3 linked regions of the Saccharomyces cerevisiae S288C genome follow. The protein of the gene in region 1 purifies or fractionates together with the protein of each later gene. This does not show direct contact. Each region holds a gene or a part of one and is shown in the gene's direction. Other genes may lie near its edges.

Region 1 (5,266 bases):
GTCAAAAGAATCTACACTGTTTGCGTGTTGATTATTGTTGGAGTTGAATAAATTCTGCTTATGTGACTTAAATGAAGGAGGGTTAGGCATTTGTCTCTGAAGTTTTCCGTGCACACTGATACCCCTTTCTTTTTCAGATTAACGTTATGCCACACAAGTGCTCTGATTGTTACTTTTTCTCAATTGCTTAACGGTATATTGCTGTTAATAAGCTGATTGTTGAGTACTGTATAAGCTTCAAAAATCCAGATGAAATCTTTTATTGCGTAGATCAGGCTTCTAATAGCAGCAAATTCAGGTGAAACAATGCCTAAAATATTAAATAAAAAATAGGTATTGAGTAATTTTGGTCCTCGTTTTAAGTAACGAATGTGTCCGAAATTCCCAAGATGTCTAACCTTTTGTTTGGCAGTGATAGGTCTTAGCCACTGTGCCAGTATTTACTCTTTCCAACTGCCTCAAAAAGGTATGGCCTTACCTTCGTTTTTAATGACACGTATACGAGCCTTTGCTGTCTAATTAGTGGTAAAGTGATAATAGTGAAAGTAAAGTGGTTCTTTACCGCGTCTATATATATATGTATATGAATGCCCTAGTGTGCACATTACTAGATTATAAAAGGTATTATGGCGTAGGGGGCTACGTGATTGTCTTTAAATTTGTGCCTGTAATAATTTTTTGTTTCCAATGCGGATATAGTCAAACTTGTGATTACCCAAACTAGTGTTAGGTAAAATTCTTGTTCATAGGGCAACAGAGTAGAATAAATGATTATTTCATCGAGATAATGAGGACAGCATACCAACCTGAAAAGCCTTCCTGTTGGCAGCGAATATTTAACCAGATTGGCCAGAATAACATGATTTTTGTACTGATCCCAAGATGCTATGCAGAATATGATGAAAGCATTCATGTTTAACGTATTTGGAATGGAGTTCTTGTACAGTGATATATTAAGAATTAACAAGAGTACGGAATAGAACCATATACCGACTAGATAATGGGACCAATTCATCCTAGAATTGCTTGTATAATGTAGTACATAAAGCGTTTCATAAAGTCGGCGCAATGAGTGTCCAAATATGATCCAAACGATGGGGAATTTAGGATAGAAATATAAGGTGACTAAGGATAGAAAGGTAGCCAAATAGTAAAAATGGGAAAAATACGCCTTTGGAACTGTGAACTTCTTGATTCGTTCTAAAATGCTTGAGTACTTTGAATTCTCTTTGGGCCGGTAGGTTTTACCATATTGAAGAAATTCTGGTAGACAACTTTTTGCTATGAAAAGTGAGCAAATGCCTACAAAAAAGGATAATCTATAGGCATATATAGTATATTTTAGCAATTGTTCTTCATCAAAGTACATTGGACTGGTAGATTCTACGTTTTAAGCCAGATCGGTCCGCCGATAAACCTATTTATATTCCACATTTGGTATATTTTTACTTTTTCGAAACGTCCTTAATTCTCATTTTGGAAAAAAAAGAGAAAGCATAATACTGAATAGAACAAGGACCGAATTTCTCTTTACCGGTAGATTATGATTTATTTGGGCAAAAAGTTTTTTTTTTCATTCTATTGCAATAGCTATCATTTCAGGAGAAATGCTACTAATATGAAAAACCACTGATTTAAAAGGAATATTAAATTATTTAAATATAACCGATATGTACGCGTTACGTAAATCAGAAATTGATATGTATAATACGAGTAACGGTAAGGGAAGGGCATGAATAATATGCAGGACAGCATTCTACTGGTCGTTCCAGAATTTATATAACAAGTTTGCATATTTCTGCATTTCTTCGACTGAAACCAATAACTTGAAATCACATAGTATCAGGAATTGTAATTCTAAATGGTTTAACTCTTGCAAAGAAATACCTCCAACCTTGGCGTATCGAGAGTTACTGTAAAAAAAATCACTCAAGAACTTCGTGCAAATTGTGACACCTGTTATGAGCAATCTATGAATGTTCCCGGAGTCCATGACGAATAATTGCTTTGCGCAACCATTACGCTCAGAAGAATGCCCATAATTTTTGGAGATTCTATCGAAATATACAAGGAGAGAAAGAAAAATATCATTTGTGGTGGGACAGTACTTTTGAATTCTCTCTAAGTACTGAACAACAGCTATCTCTGGAACATTCTTTCCATAGAAAGCAAGGATTGGAGTTAAGAGTTCGTCTTCGGTCTCATCCGACACTTGTTGTGAGACATCTGTAGTTTCATCGTTTGCTGTTATAATTCTGTTGAGTAGCGCACTTATCATTAGTATGAGTTCATCTGTGGGAAAGTCTGCTATGTTTAAGATCTTTACATCAGTCTGTTCATTTGTCTCCTCGTCCAGGCTATGCGTTTTTGCTTCCGACTCTAAAGACTTCTTTACAGCTTGTACAGGAGAACAATCTAGTAAAGATTTCGAAGAGAAAGGGCTTTCCAAACTGGGGTTAGTAGATATTTTGGACAGCAAACTACTATTGTTACTTGAAAATGGATCGGTCTTGAAGCTGTGAGAATGTGGTCCGATTATTAGGTTATCTCTATTCCCCCCTGGTATATTTATTGGCGATGTTGTGGTTTTTTTTGATGGTGAACTTAGCTCCATATTTTTCTCTAGTGTAAGCAGTCGTTCGTTCTAGCTCGGTTTGCTTTAGTCTGATTACAGTAATTAATGTCTGTTAACTTTTGTTGTACTATTTTAAGAACCGTAGATGAATATATAGATATACTTTTTGTATATATAAAGGTTTGAGATGTTGAAGCCTGCGCTGCTATCCCCTGCTTTGTTTACACCGTTTTGGACCCATCGCAAGATACCGAGATTCCGAAACCGGCCTCAAAACTCCCAGAGATTAGGCGCGATAGATAGTAATACCTTAAGCCATAGTATGCCTATGGATGCAAAATGCAATGATCACTGTCCATGTTATACAATTAAAAGAGCCCGTAGAAAAGTGCACAGGCGGTGATCTTAGAAGACCAGTGCTGCTTATTGGATAAGTCTCTATCATTGAAGGACGTTATTCACTTTGCTCCTGTGTACGCTCTCATTTGCGGAGATGCGATTCCGCCTCTGTCGCTCATCCAGCGAAAAACACACCGTATGGATCCCCTGATATATATAAATACATATGACTAAATGGGTCTTACACATGCATAAGAATTAGGTTAGCTAGTAAATTGTGTGAGATTTACAGGTAAAAAGGACAACACATACACACAAATATATTACCAATAATGTTTTTAAGAAATTCCGTTTTGAGAACAGCTCCAGTCTTGAGGAGGGGTATAACAACATTGACCCCGGTCAGCACCAAGTTGGCCCCACCCGCTGCCGCCTCTTACTCCCAAGCTATGAAGGCCAACAATTTTGTGTACGTGTCTGGTCAAATCCCTTATACTCCAGATAACAAGCCTGTTCAAGGTTCTATCTCTGAGAAGGCCGAACAAGTTTTTCAAAACGTTAAGAATATCTTAGCAGAAAGTAATTCTTCTTTAGACAATATAGTCAAAGTCAACGTATTCTTGGCTGACATGAAAAACTTTGCCGAATTCAACTCTGTATACGCCAAACACTTCCACACCCATAAGCCTGCAAGATCCTGTGTTGGTGTTGCTTCCTTACCTTTGAATGTTGATTTAGAAATGGAAGTTATCGCTGTTGAAAAGAATTGAAGGATTGAAACTTCTTTACTGCCTTTTTTCCACTTGCGATACCGAGGAGTGTACATTTATAAACATTTTAGTAGCATTCTTTAGCGTATATAAGATTTTAACTAAGAAAAGAAACGAATTTACGGAGTTTCAGAATCAGTTTCTTGCCGTTGTAGAAAATGTGAGGGGAGTTTCCCTCTACTTGTATCAATGTTACAAGACAGGGGTAGAAACCTATTACGTGTTGGAACTTATTTTCTTGAACACTCTAATCATAAATTCTAAAAAACTGTGACTGTGTTTTCGTCACAACTTTGCGGTGTACAGATGTCGTCACATACCGTGTGTTGTTTGGGTGTTTTCCTTTCAGCTTTTTTTTTTTTGAATTTTTGAATTTTTACTTTCATTTGCTTTCGGAGGTCCCGCTTCCGACAATAGTCCGCTTCATTTGTCCCTTCCCATGAAAGTTCATTCCTTTGGGCAGAGAGACCGTCCTTCTGGGAGGAGATGGAATTGACGCCTGGGGGAGGAGCCAGTAACAATTCTAACTCTTCCTCTTCCTGTCAGTGGCCCCAGCACCCGTTCAGACGGTATGGTAACGGGCTCTCAGGAGCCGTTTCATCGCAGCTGGTGGGTAAGTTTGGAATGTTTCAATAGCATTCTACGTAAAAGTTGATGAACTTATTAGTTGTAAGTAGTAAATAACGGGTAGTACATAGTATTTGGCACTTGTTATATTCTTTTGATTCAATTTACTTTGATTGAAACTGAGAATAGATTAGCAACGAACAACCCTAAAAATGGCTCAACGTGTTACTTTCAGAAGAAGAAATCCATGTATGTTACTGAACTATTTTTTTGAGTTTTCATGAAAACTTATTATGAACTTATTATGAACTTATTTTGAACTTTCATTGTGGGAAAATGAGGTTAAAAGGCGAACGAGTGCTATTTAGAGAAGCGTACCACTTAGAAATAGGAAGAACCAGATCATCGATAGGGGAATCAACTATGCAAGAACTTTCAAATATATTGGCATGACATTAAAACATTAGACAGCATGAACGAACAGTATCCAGTAATGTGGACAGCAATAAGTTGACTTCAGTTTCTAAGTGGAAGACCTTGGTCGACCCAAATGGAAAATGAATTTTTCTCCGCTGTTGAAAGATTGAAATGAGATAATATTCATTCAGCAACGCCGAAATACTTTTCATATGGAGCAATCCCACTCAAGTTCTTAAATCATAGGATAATAAAGAAGTGATTACTAACATTAATGGGAAAATTTTCTCTTTACTACGTACAGACAACACCCGTTCTAACAAAATCAAGGTTGTTAAGACCCCAGGTGGTATCTTGCGTGCCCAACACGTTAAGAAGTTGGCTACTAGACCAAAGTGTGGTGACTGTGGTAGTGCTCTACAAGGTATTTCCACTTTGAGACCAAGACAATACGCTACTGTCTCCAAGACCCACAAGACTGTTTCCAGAGCTTACGGTGGTTCCAGATGTGCCAACTGTGTCAAGGAAAGAATCGTCAGAGCTTTCTTGATTGAAGAACAAAAGATTGTTAAGAAGGTCGTTAAGGAACAAACTGAGG
Region 2 (4,512 bases), on another chromosome or scaffold:
TAGATCTACTAGTGTCATAGTAAAAAGATCTCCAGCAATTAAATCATTCTCCGTACACAGTCGACTTAAAGGGAATGTGGGAGCAGCAGCTCTTGGGAACGCAACAAGGTATGTTACTGGTAGGCCAAGAGTGTTGCAAAAGAGACAACACACTGCTACAACCACTGCTAATGTTAGTGGTACAACGGAAGAAGAAAGAATTGCTAGTATGTTTGCCACACAAGAAAATCAATGGGAACAAACGCAAGAAGAAATGTCTGCAGCCACACCTGTTTTTTTCAAGTCACAGACGAATAAGAATTCTGCACAAGAAAACGAAGGCCCACCGCCACCAGGTTATATGTGCTATCGTTGTGGGGGTAGAGACCACTGGATTAAAAATTGTCCAACTAACAGCGATCCAAATTTTGAAGGAAAAAGAATCAGAAGAACCACAGGTATTCCAAAGAAGTTTTTAAAATCCATTGAAATAGATCCCGAGACAATGACACCGGAAGAGATGGCTCAGCGAAAGATTATGATTACGGACGAAGGCAAGTTCGTGGTACAAGTTGAAGACAAACAATCATGGGAAGACTACCAAAGGAAAAGAGAGAACCGTCAAATTGATGGTGATGAAACCATTTGGAGAAAAGGCCATTTCAAAGATCTTCCTGACGATTTAAAATGTCCCTTGACAGGTGGTCTTTTGAGGCAGCCGGTAAAGACAAGCAAGTGCTGTAACATAGATTTCTCAAAAGAGGCGCTGGAAAATGCACTGGTAGAGAGCGACTTTGTATGCCCCAATTGCGAAACCCGCGATATCCTTCTCGATTCTTTAGTACCCGACCAGGACAAGGAAAAGGAGGTCGAAACGTTTTTGAAGAAACAAGAGGAACTACACGGAAGCTCTAAAGATGGCAACCAGCCAGAAACTAAGAAAATGAAGTTGATGGATCCAACTGGCACCGCTGGCTTGAACAACAATACCAGCCTTCCAACTTCTGTAAATAACGGCGGTACGCCAGTGCCACCAGTACCGTTACCTTTCGGTATACCTCCTTTCCCCATGTTTCCAATGCCCTTCATGCCTCCAACGGCTACTATCACAAATCCTCATCAAGCTGACGCAAGCCCTAAGAAATGAATAACAATACTGACAGTACTAAATAATTGCCTACTTGGCTTCACATACGTTGCATACGTCGATATAGATAATAATGATAATGACAGCAGGATTATCGTAATACGTAATAGTTGAAAATCTCAAAAATGTGTGGGTCATTACGTAAATAATGATAGGAATGGGATTCTTCTATTTTTCCTTTTTCCATTCTAGCAGCCGTCGGGAAAACGTGGCATCCTCTCTTTCGGGCTCAATTGGAGTCACGCTGCCGTGAGCATCCTCTCTTTCCATATCTAACAACTGAGCACGTAACCAATGGAAAAGCATGAGCTTAGCGTTGCTCCAAAAAAGTATTGGATGGTTAATACCATTTGTCTGTTCTCTTCTGACTTTGACTCCTCAAAAAAAAAAAATCTACAATCAACAGATCGCTTCAATTACGCCCTCACAAAAACTTTTTTCCTTCTTCTTCGCCCACGTTAAATTTTATCCCTCATGTTGTCTAACGGATTTCTGCACTTGATTTATTATAAAAAGACAAAGACATAATACTTCTCTATCAATTTCAGTTATTGTTCTTCCTTGCGTTATTCTTCTGTTCTTCTTTTTCTTTTGTCATATATAACCATAACCAAGTAATACATATTCAAAATGGGTGTTGAACAAATCTTAAAGAGAAAGACCGGTGTCATCGTTGGTGAAGATGTCCACAACTTATTCACTTACGCTAAGGAACACAAGTTCGCTATTCCAGCTATTAACGTCACCTCTTCTTCTACTGCCGTCGCTGCTTTAGAAGCTGCTAGAGACAGCAAGTCCCCAATCATTTTGCAAACCTCTAACGGTGGTGCTGCTTACTTCGCTGGTAAGGGTATCTCTAACGAAGGTCAAAATGCTTCCATCAAGGGTGCTATTGCCGCTGCCCACTACATCAGATCCATTGCTCCAGCTTACGGTATCCCAGTTGTCTTACACTCTGACCACTGTGCCAAGAAGTTGTTGCCATGGTTCGATGGTATGTTGGAAGCTGATGAAGCTTACTTCAAGGAACACGGTGAACCATTATTCTCCTCCCACATGTTGGATTTGTCTGAAGAAACCGATGAAGAAAACATCTCTACTTGTGTCAAGTACTTCAAGAGAATGGCCGCTATGGACCAATGGTTAGAAATGGAAATCGGTATTACCGGTGGTGAAGAAGATGGTGTTAACAACGAAAACGCTGACAAGGAAGACTTGTACACCAAGCCAGAACAAGTTTACAACGTCTACAAGGCTTTGCACCCAATCTCTCCAAACTTCTCCATTGCTGCTGCTTTCGGTAACTGTCACGGTTTGTACGCTGGTGACATCGCTTTGAGACCAGAAATCTTGGCTGAACACCAAAAGTACACCAGAGAACAAGTTGGTTGCAAGGAAGAAAAGCCATTGTTCTTGGTCTTCCACGGTGGTTCCGGTTCTACTGTCCAAGAATTCCACACTGGTATTGACAACGGTGTTGTCAAGGTCAACTTGGACACTGACTGTCAATACGCTTACTTGACTGGTATCAGAGACTACGTCTTGAACAAGAAGGACTACATAATGTCCCCAGTCGGTAACCCAGAAGGTCCAGAAAAGCCAAACAAGAAGTTCTTCGACCCAAGAGTCTGGGTTAGAGAAGGTGAAAAGACCATGGGTGCTAAGATCACCAAGTCTTTGGAAACTTTCCGTACCACTAACACTTTATAAGTTAATTCAAATTAATTGATATAGTTTTTTAATGAGTATTGAATCTGTTTAGAAATAATGGAATATTATTTTTATTTATTTATTTATATTATTGGTCGGCTCTTTTCTTCTGAAGGTCAATGACAAAATGATATGAAGGAAATAATGATTTCTAAAATTTTACAACGTAAGATATTTTTACAAAAGCCTAGCTCATCTTTTGTCATGCACTATTTTACTCACGCTTGAAATTAACGGCCAGTCCACTGCGGAGTCATTTCAAAGTCATCCTAATCGATCTATCGTTTTTGATAGCTCATTTTGGAGTTCGCGATTGTCTTCTGTTATTCACAACTGTTTTAATTTTTATTTCATTCTGGAACTCTTCGAGTTCTTTGTAAAGTCTTTCATAGTAGCTTACTTTATCCTCCAACATATTTAACTTCATGTCAATTTCGGCTCTTAAATTTTCCACATCATCAAGTTCAACATCATCTTTTAACTTGAATTTATTCTCTAGCTCTTCCAACCAAGCCTCATTGCTCCTTGATTTACTGGTGAAAAGTGATACACTTTGCGCGCAATCCAGGTCAAAACTTTCCTGCAAAGAATTCACCAATTTCTCGACATCATAGTACAATTTGTTTTGTTCTCCCATCACAATTTAATATACCTGATGGATTCTTATGAAGCGCTGGGTAATGGACGTGTCACTCTACTTCGCCTTTTTCCCTACTCCTTTTAGTACGGAAGACAATGCTAATAAATAAGAGGGTAATAATAATATTATTAATCGGCAAAAAAGATTAAACGCCAAGCGTTTAATTATCAGAAAGCAAACGTCGTACCAATCCTTGAATGCTTCCCAATTGTATATTAAGAGTCATCACAGCAACATATTCTTGTTATTAAATTAATTATTATTGATTTTTGATATTGTATAAAAAAACCAAATATGTATAAAAAAAGTGAATAAAAAATACCAAGTATGGAGAAATATATTAGAAGTCTATACGTTAAAACCAGAACGTGCACAATTTTTTTAATCTGCCAAATGGAAAAAACGGAAATATACGGAAAAGAAGTTGAAGTAATAGTTAGAAAGGCAAAAAAGGAAAGAAACAATTTAAAATATCTTAAGATTATATTAGAAACAAACACCAATGTTCATTTCATTCCTTAGAATATATCCGAATGAAATGACCAACCTACTTGTTTTGTAAACTGAGGAAGAAAGAATATTATTTCTCCGAAAACTTGTCATACCGTAGCTTGTCTTGCTTTTATTTGCTTTTGACCTTATTTTTTTCAAAAATCACCGTGCTTTTTGTGAGTTTTTAGATGTTGTGATAAATTGTCACTTCTACTGAATTTTTTCTCACAGAACATACAAGCAAAAGGGCGTTCCGTTGAATGAACGGATCTTATATGCCTTTTCAAGTGCTCACTGCGTCTGAATGCCTTCTCACAGTCTTTACACTTGAAAGGTTTATTTTTATCGTAGTTGTTGGGGTCAATGGTAGTAATAGATTTCCTTTTCCGAGGTTGGACAGGAACCTTACCATTGTTGTTGTTATGAGAAATAGTTGGACTTAAAGTAACACTTGACGACTTTCTTCTTCTTGTGTTTGGGCTTACCGTTGCCTGTTTAGTAGGTTGTTGTTGATGATGTTGAGCTGCATGGTGAGCTTGACTAG
Region 3 (4,148 bases), on another chromosome or scaffold:
CCCACACACGACTCCTTTGCGCTGTAAAGGGCAGAATAGGGAGTGATGTGATGTGATGCGATGTGATGGGTCTTGCAACGTGATCTAGTAGATATATATGTAAAGGTGTAAATAGGTATATAGGCGTCGGTGAAATTTTATTAGCAACACCAGTTCAATACGATCACTACCGTATCACTGGAAATGTTAGCAGAATTGTCTCATAGAGAATTGATAAAGTTGGCGCAGAAAAGATGTATACCACCTTTATTGCCAAAGTTTCATAAGGGACAGTCTGGTGGGAGAGTTTGCATTATTGGAGGATGCGAAGATTATACAGGGGCACCGTATTTCAGCGCCAATGCTACAGCCTTGATGGGCTGTGATTTGACACATGTCATCTGCGAATACAACGCTGGTACGGTCATTAAATCGTACACCCCAAACCTAATGGTTCATCCATACCTTCGTATGAGTAACACCAAATTAGACGTTGATATGGACGAACAAAGGAAGAAAATCAATTCCTTATTGGATAGAATCCACGTTGTGGTAATTGGACCCGGCTTGGGTAGGGACCCCCTAATGTTAAAATCCATTAAGGATATCATAAGATATATACTTGAAAAACATGAGGGCAAGATCCCGTTAGTAATTGATGCTGATGGACTGTTCTTAGTAACTCAAGATAGCGAAGTCAAAGAAATGCTGAAAAGCTACCCCAAAGGTAGAGTGATCTTGACGCCCAATGTGGTAGAATTCAAAAGACTATGTGATGCCATAGGCAAGAAGGGAGACTCTCACTCCGAGATGGGCAGCTTGATCGCCCAGGAATTGAATTGTATTGTGGTGGAGAAAGGTCAGTCAGATAAGATATTCTCACCCGATAGTGAAAAAGACATGTTGACGAACAGCGAAGAGGGCAGCAACAAGAGGGTAGGAGGCCAAGGTGATACTTTGACAGGAGCTATATCATGCATGCTTGCATTTAGTCGTGCAATGTATGACTTTAAGATTTGTGAGCAGGAAGAAAAGGGAGAATCTTCTAACGATAAACCCTTGAAAAACTGGGTAGACTACGCTATGTTGAGTTGCTACGCAGGCTGCACAATTACACGAGAATGCTCCCGCCTAGGATTTAAGGCTAAGGGACGTGCAATGCAGACGACAGATCTAAATGACCGTGTCGGTGAAGTGTTCGCCAAACTTTTCGGTTAACACATGCAGTGATGCACGCGCGATGGTGCTAAGTTACATATATATATATATATATATATATATATATATATAGCCATAGTGATGTCTAAGTAACCTTTATGGTATATTTCTTAATGTGGAAAGATACTAGCGCGCGCACCCACACACAAGCTTCGTCTTTTCTTGAAGAAAAGAGGAAGCTCGCTAAATGGGATTCCACTTTCCGTTCCCTGCCAGCTGATGGAAAAAGGTTAGTGGAACGATGAAGAATAAAAAGAGAGATCCACTGAGGTGAAATTTCAGCTGACAGCGAGTTTCATGATCGTGATGAACAATGGTAACGAGTTGTGGCTGTTGCCAGGGAGGGTGGTTCTCAACTTTTAATGTATGGCCAAATCGCTACTTGGGTTTGTTATATAACAAAGAAGAAATAATGAACTGATTCTCTTCCTCCTTCTTGTCCTTTCTTAATTCTGTTGTAATTACCTTCCTTTGTAATTTTTTTTGTAATTATTCTTCTTAATAATCCAAACAAACACACATATTACAATAATGCCAAAGTTAGTTTTAGTTAGACACGGTCAATCCGAATGGAACGAAAAGAACTTATTCACCGGTTGGGTTGATGTTAAATTGTCTGCCAAGGGTCAACAAGAAGCCGCTAGAGCCGGTGAATTGTTGAAGGAAAAGAAGGTCTACCCAGACGTCTTGTACACTTCCAAGTTGTCCAGAGCTATCCAAACTGCTAACATTGCTTTGGAAAAGGCTGACAGATTATGGATTCCAGTCAACAGATCCTGGAGATTGAACGAAAGACATTACGGTGACTTACAAGGTAAGGACAAGGCTGAAACTTTGAAGAAGTTCGGTGAAGAAAAATTCAACACCTACAGAAGATCCTTCGATGTTCCACCTCCCCCAATCGACGCTTCTTCTCCATTCTCTCAAAAGGGTGATGAAAGATACAAGTACGTTGACCCAAATGTCTTGCCAGAAACTGAATCTTTGGCTTTGGTCATTGACAGATTGTTGCCATACTGGCAAGATGTCATTGCCAAGGACTTGTTGAGTGGTAAGACCGTCATGATCGCCGCTCACGGTAACTCCTTGAGAGGTTTGGTTAAGCACTTGGAAGGTATCTCTGATGCTGACATTGCTAAGTTGAACATCCCAACTGGTATTCCATTGGTCTTCGAATTGGACGAAAACTTGAAGCCATCTAAGCCATCTTACTACTTGGACCCAGAAGCTGCCGCTGCTGGTGCCGCTGCTGTTGCCAACCAAGGTAAGAAATAAGTCTGAAGAATGAATGATTTGATGATTTCTTTTTCCCTCCATTTTTCTTACTGAATATATCAATGATATAGACTTGTATAGTTTATTATTTCAAATTAAGTAGCTATATATAGTCAAGATAACGTTTGTTTGACACGATTACATTATTCGTCGACATCTTTTTTCAGCCTGTCGTGGTAGCAATTTGAGGAGTATTATTAATTGAATAGGTTCATTTTGCGCTCGCATAAACAGTTTTCGTCAGGGACAGTATGTTGGAATGAGTGGTAATTAATGGTGACATGACATGTTATAGCAATAACCTTGATGTTTACATCGTAGTTTAATGTACACCCCGCGAATTCGTTCAAGTAGGAGTGCACCAATTGCAAAGGGAAAAGCTGAATGGGCAGTTCGAATAGTACTTAAGATTAGTTAAAAGTCCATGATTGAACATTGATGTGGTAGTTACATGCATGATGAATATGCGCCATGAGAGGTTGGTGAATTTTGAGATAATTGTTGGGATTCCAATGTTGATAAAGGCTGTTATATTATGTATACAGAATATACTGGAAGTGTCTCCTCGAGGATATAGGCATCCCCAAAAAGGAATCGATATTTCTACATAATAATATCACGATTGTTCCTCATTCCATTTCATATGTTTCATTATCCTATTACATTATTGATCCTTGTATTTCAGCTTTCTCTAACTTCGATGACAGTTTCTCATACCTTATGTCATCATGTCCACATTTGACACCATATAAGATAATATACTGGTAGTATAACCACTAGTTGATGACGATAGTTGATTTTTATTCCAACACGCGGACATATTAAATGTACGGTGGCTAGCAGGCCTCCTATTCACCATATTTAATCTTCATTAGTTGTACCTTTGACCATTGACAATCAACACAATAATTATGAACAAAATTTCCTGGTACAATGATTATGGTAAAGAAGAAAAAAAACGCTGCTTGCTATAACCAAATCAGAAAATATAATACTATAATAAAAATACATCAAACTACTTATCTTCAATTATTTTCCCGCATAATTAGATCATATAACTGCTGGAACATCAAACAAATATTAGCTCGCGTGGCGTAATGGCAACGCGTCTGACTTCTAATCAGAAGATTATGGGTTCGACCCCCATCGTGAGTGTTTTTTACACCAGCAGTCAAAAAGAGTTACTTTTGATATTGCATGTGTCGATGATGCAACTATGTCTTTCTCTGCGTACGGAATCTAGAGCTATGTTAAATGCTTGTTTTTAAACTATCTATCGTTCATCTAGTTATAAATTATAATTATATTACAGTTTTTCATCTATCCATTCGCGCCATTGGGAAATTTTTCTTTTATTAATACTGCCCTCAAAAGCAACTACAGATGCTTCCAAATTTGCAAATTTGAACCCGTCGGTAGACTGTAAAACGTCTAGTGTATTCTCTGCATAATCTTCTTCGTTAATTTTTCTTTCAACCTCGTTCAACGATTTTTTCCTTCTTTCAATAACCTTTTGAATTTCGCTTTCTAAAGCATCCTTGATCTTTGATGGTGGTCTTGCAGTGAACAATTCGCTTTTATTGCATGCAATTAAGATATCAATACCATTTTCGCAACTAGATTCAGTAATTGATAATATGTCTACCAAGAACTCAGCTGTTGTTGTTAATTTCTTA

Evidence for each region.
Region 2: the proteins of MMF1 (region 1) and FBA1 purify together in Saccharomyces cerevisiae (affinity purification with mass spectrometry; 2 studies listed by BioGRID, with this or other methods). This does not show direct contact.
Region 3: the proteins of MMF1 (region 1) and GPM1 purify together in Saccharomyces cerevisiae (affinity purification with mass spectrometry; 2 studies listed by BioGRID, with this or other methods). This does not show direct contact.

Annotation. Positions count from the first base shown.
Region 1 is NC_001141.2:256,261-261,526, reverse strand, and holds MMF1 (isoleucine biosynthesis protein MMF1), read left to right. Parts: upstream 1-3,246; coding exon 3,247-3,684; downstream 3,685-5,266. Other genes in the region: aminophospholipid-translocating P4-type ATPase NEO1, read right to left, coding at 1-90; DFG10 (putative polyprenol reductase), read right to left, coding at 608-1,369; PCL7 (Pcl7p), read right to left, coding at 1,757-2,614; 60S ribosomal protein eL34 RPL34B, read left to right, coding at 4,464-4,500, 4,973-5,266. UniProt on the Saccharomyces cerevisiae protein: Plays a role in the maintenance of mitochondrial DNA.
Region 2 is NC_001143.9:324,732-329,243, reverse strand, and holds FBA1 (fructose-bisphosphate aldolase FBA1), read left to right. Parts: upstream 1-1,756; coding exon 1,757-2,836; downstream 2,837-4,512. Other genes in the region: cleavage polyadenylation factor subunit MPE1, read left to right, coding at 1-1,126; BLI1 (Bli1p), read right to left, coding at 3,132-3,473; stress-responsive transcriptional activator MSN4, read right to left, coding at 4,124-4,512. UniProt on the Saccharomyces cerevisiae protein: Catalyzes the aldol condensation of dihydroxyacetone phosphate (DHAP or glycerone-phosphate) with glyceraldehyde 3-phosphate (G3P) to form fructose 1,6-bisphosphate (FBP) in gluconeogenesis and the reverse reaction in glycolysis.
Region 3 is NC_001143.9:161,966-166,113, reverse strand, and holds GPM1 (phosphoglycerate mutase GPM1), read left to right. Parts: upstream 1-1,728; coding exon 1,729-2,472; downstream 2,473-4,148. Other genes in the region: NNR2 (NADHX dehydratase), read left to right, coding at 184-1,197; SRP102 (Signal recognition particle receptor subunit beta), read right to left, coding at 3,779-4,148. UniProt on the Saccharomyces cerevisiae protein: Interconversion of 3- and 2-phosphoglycerate with 2,3-bisphosphoglycerate as the primer of the reaction. Can also catalyze the reaction of EC 5.4.2.4 (synthase), but with a reduced activity.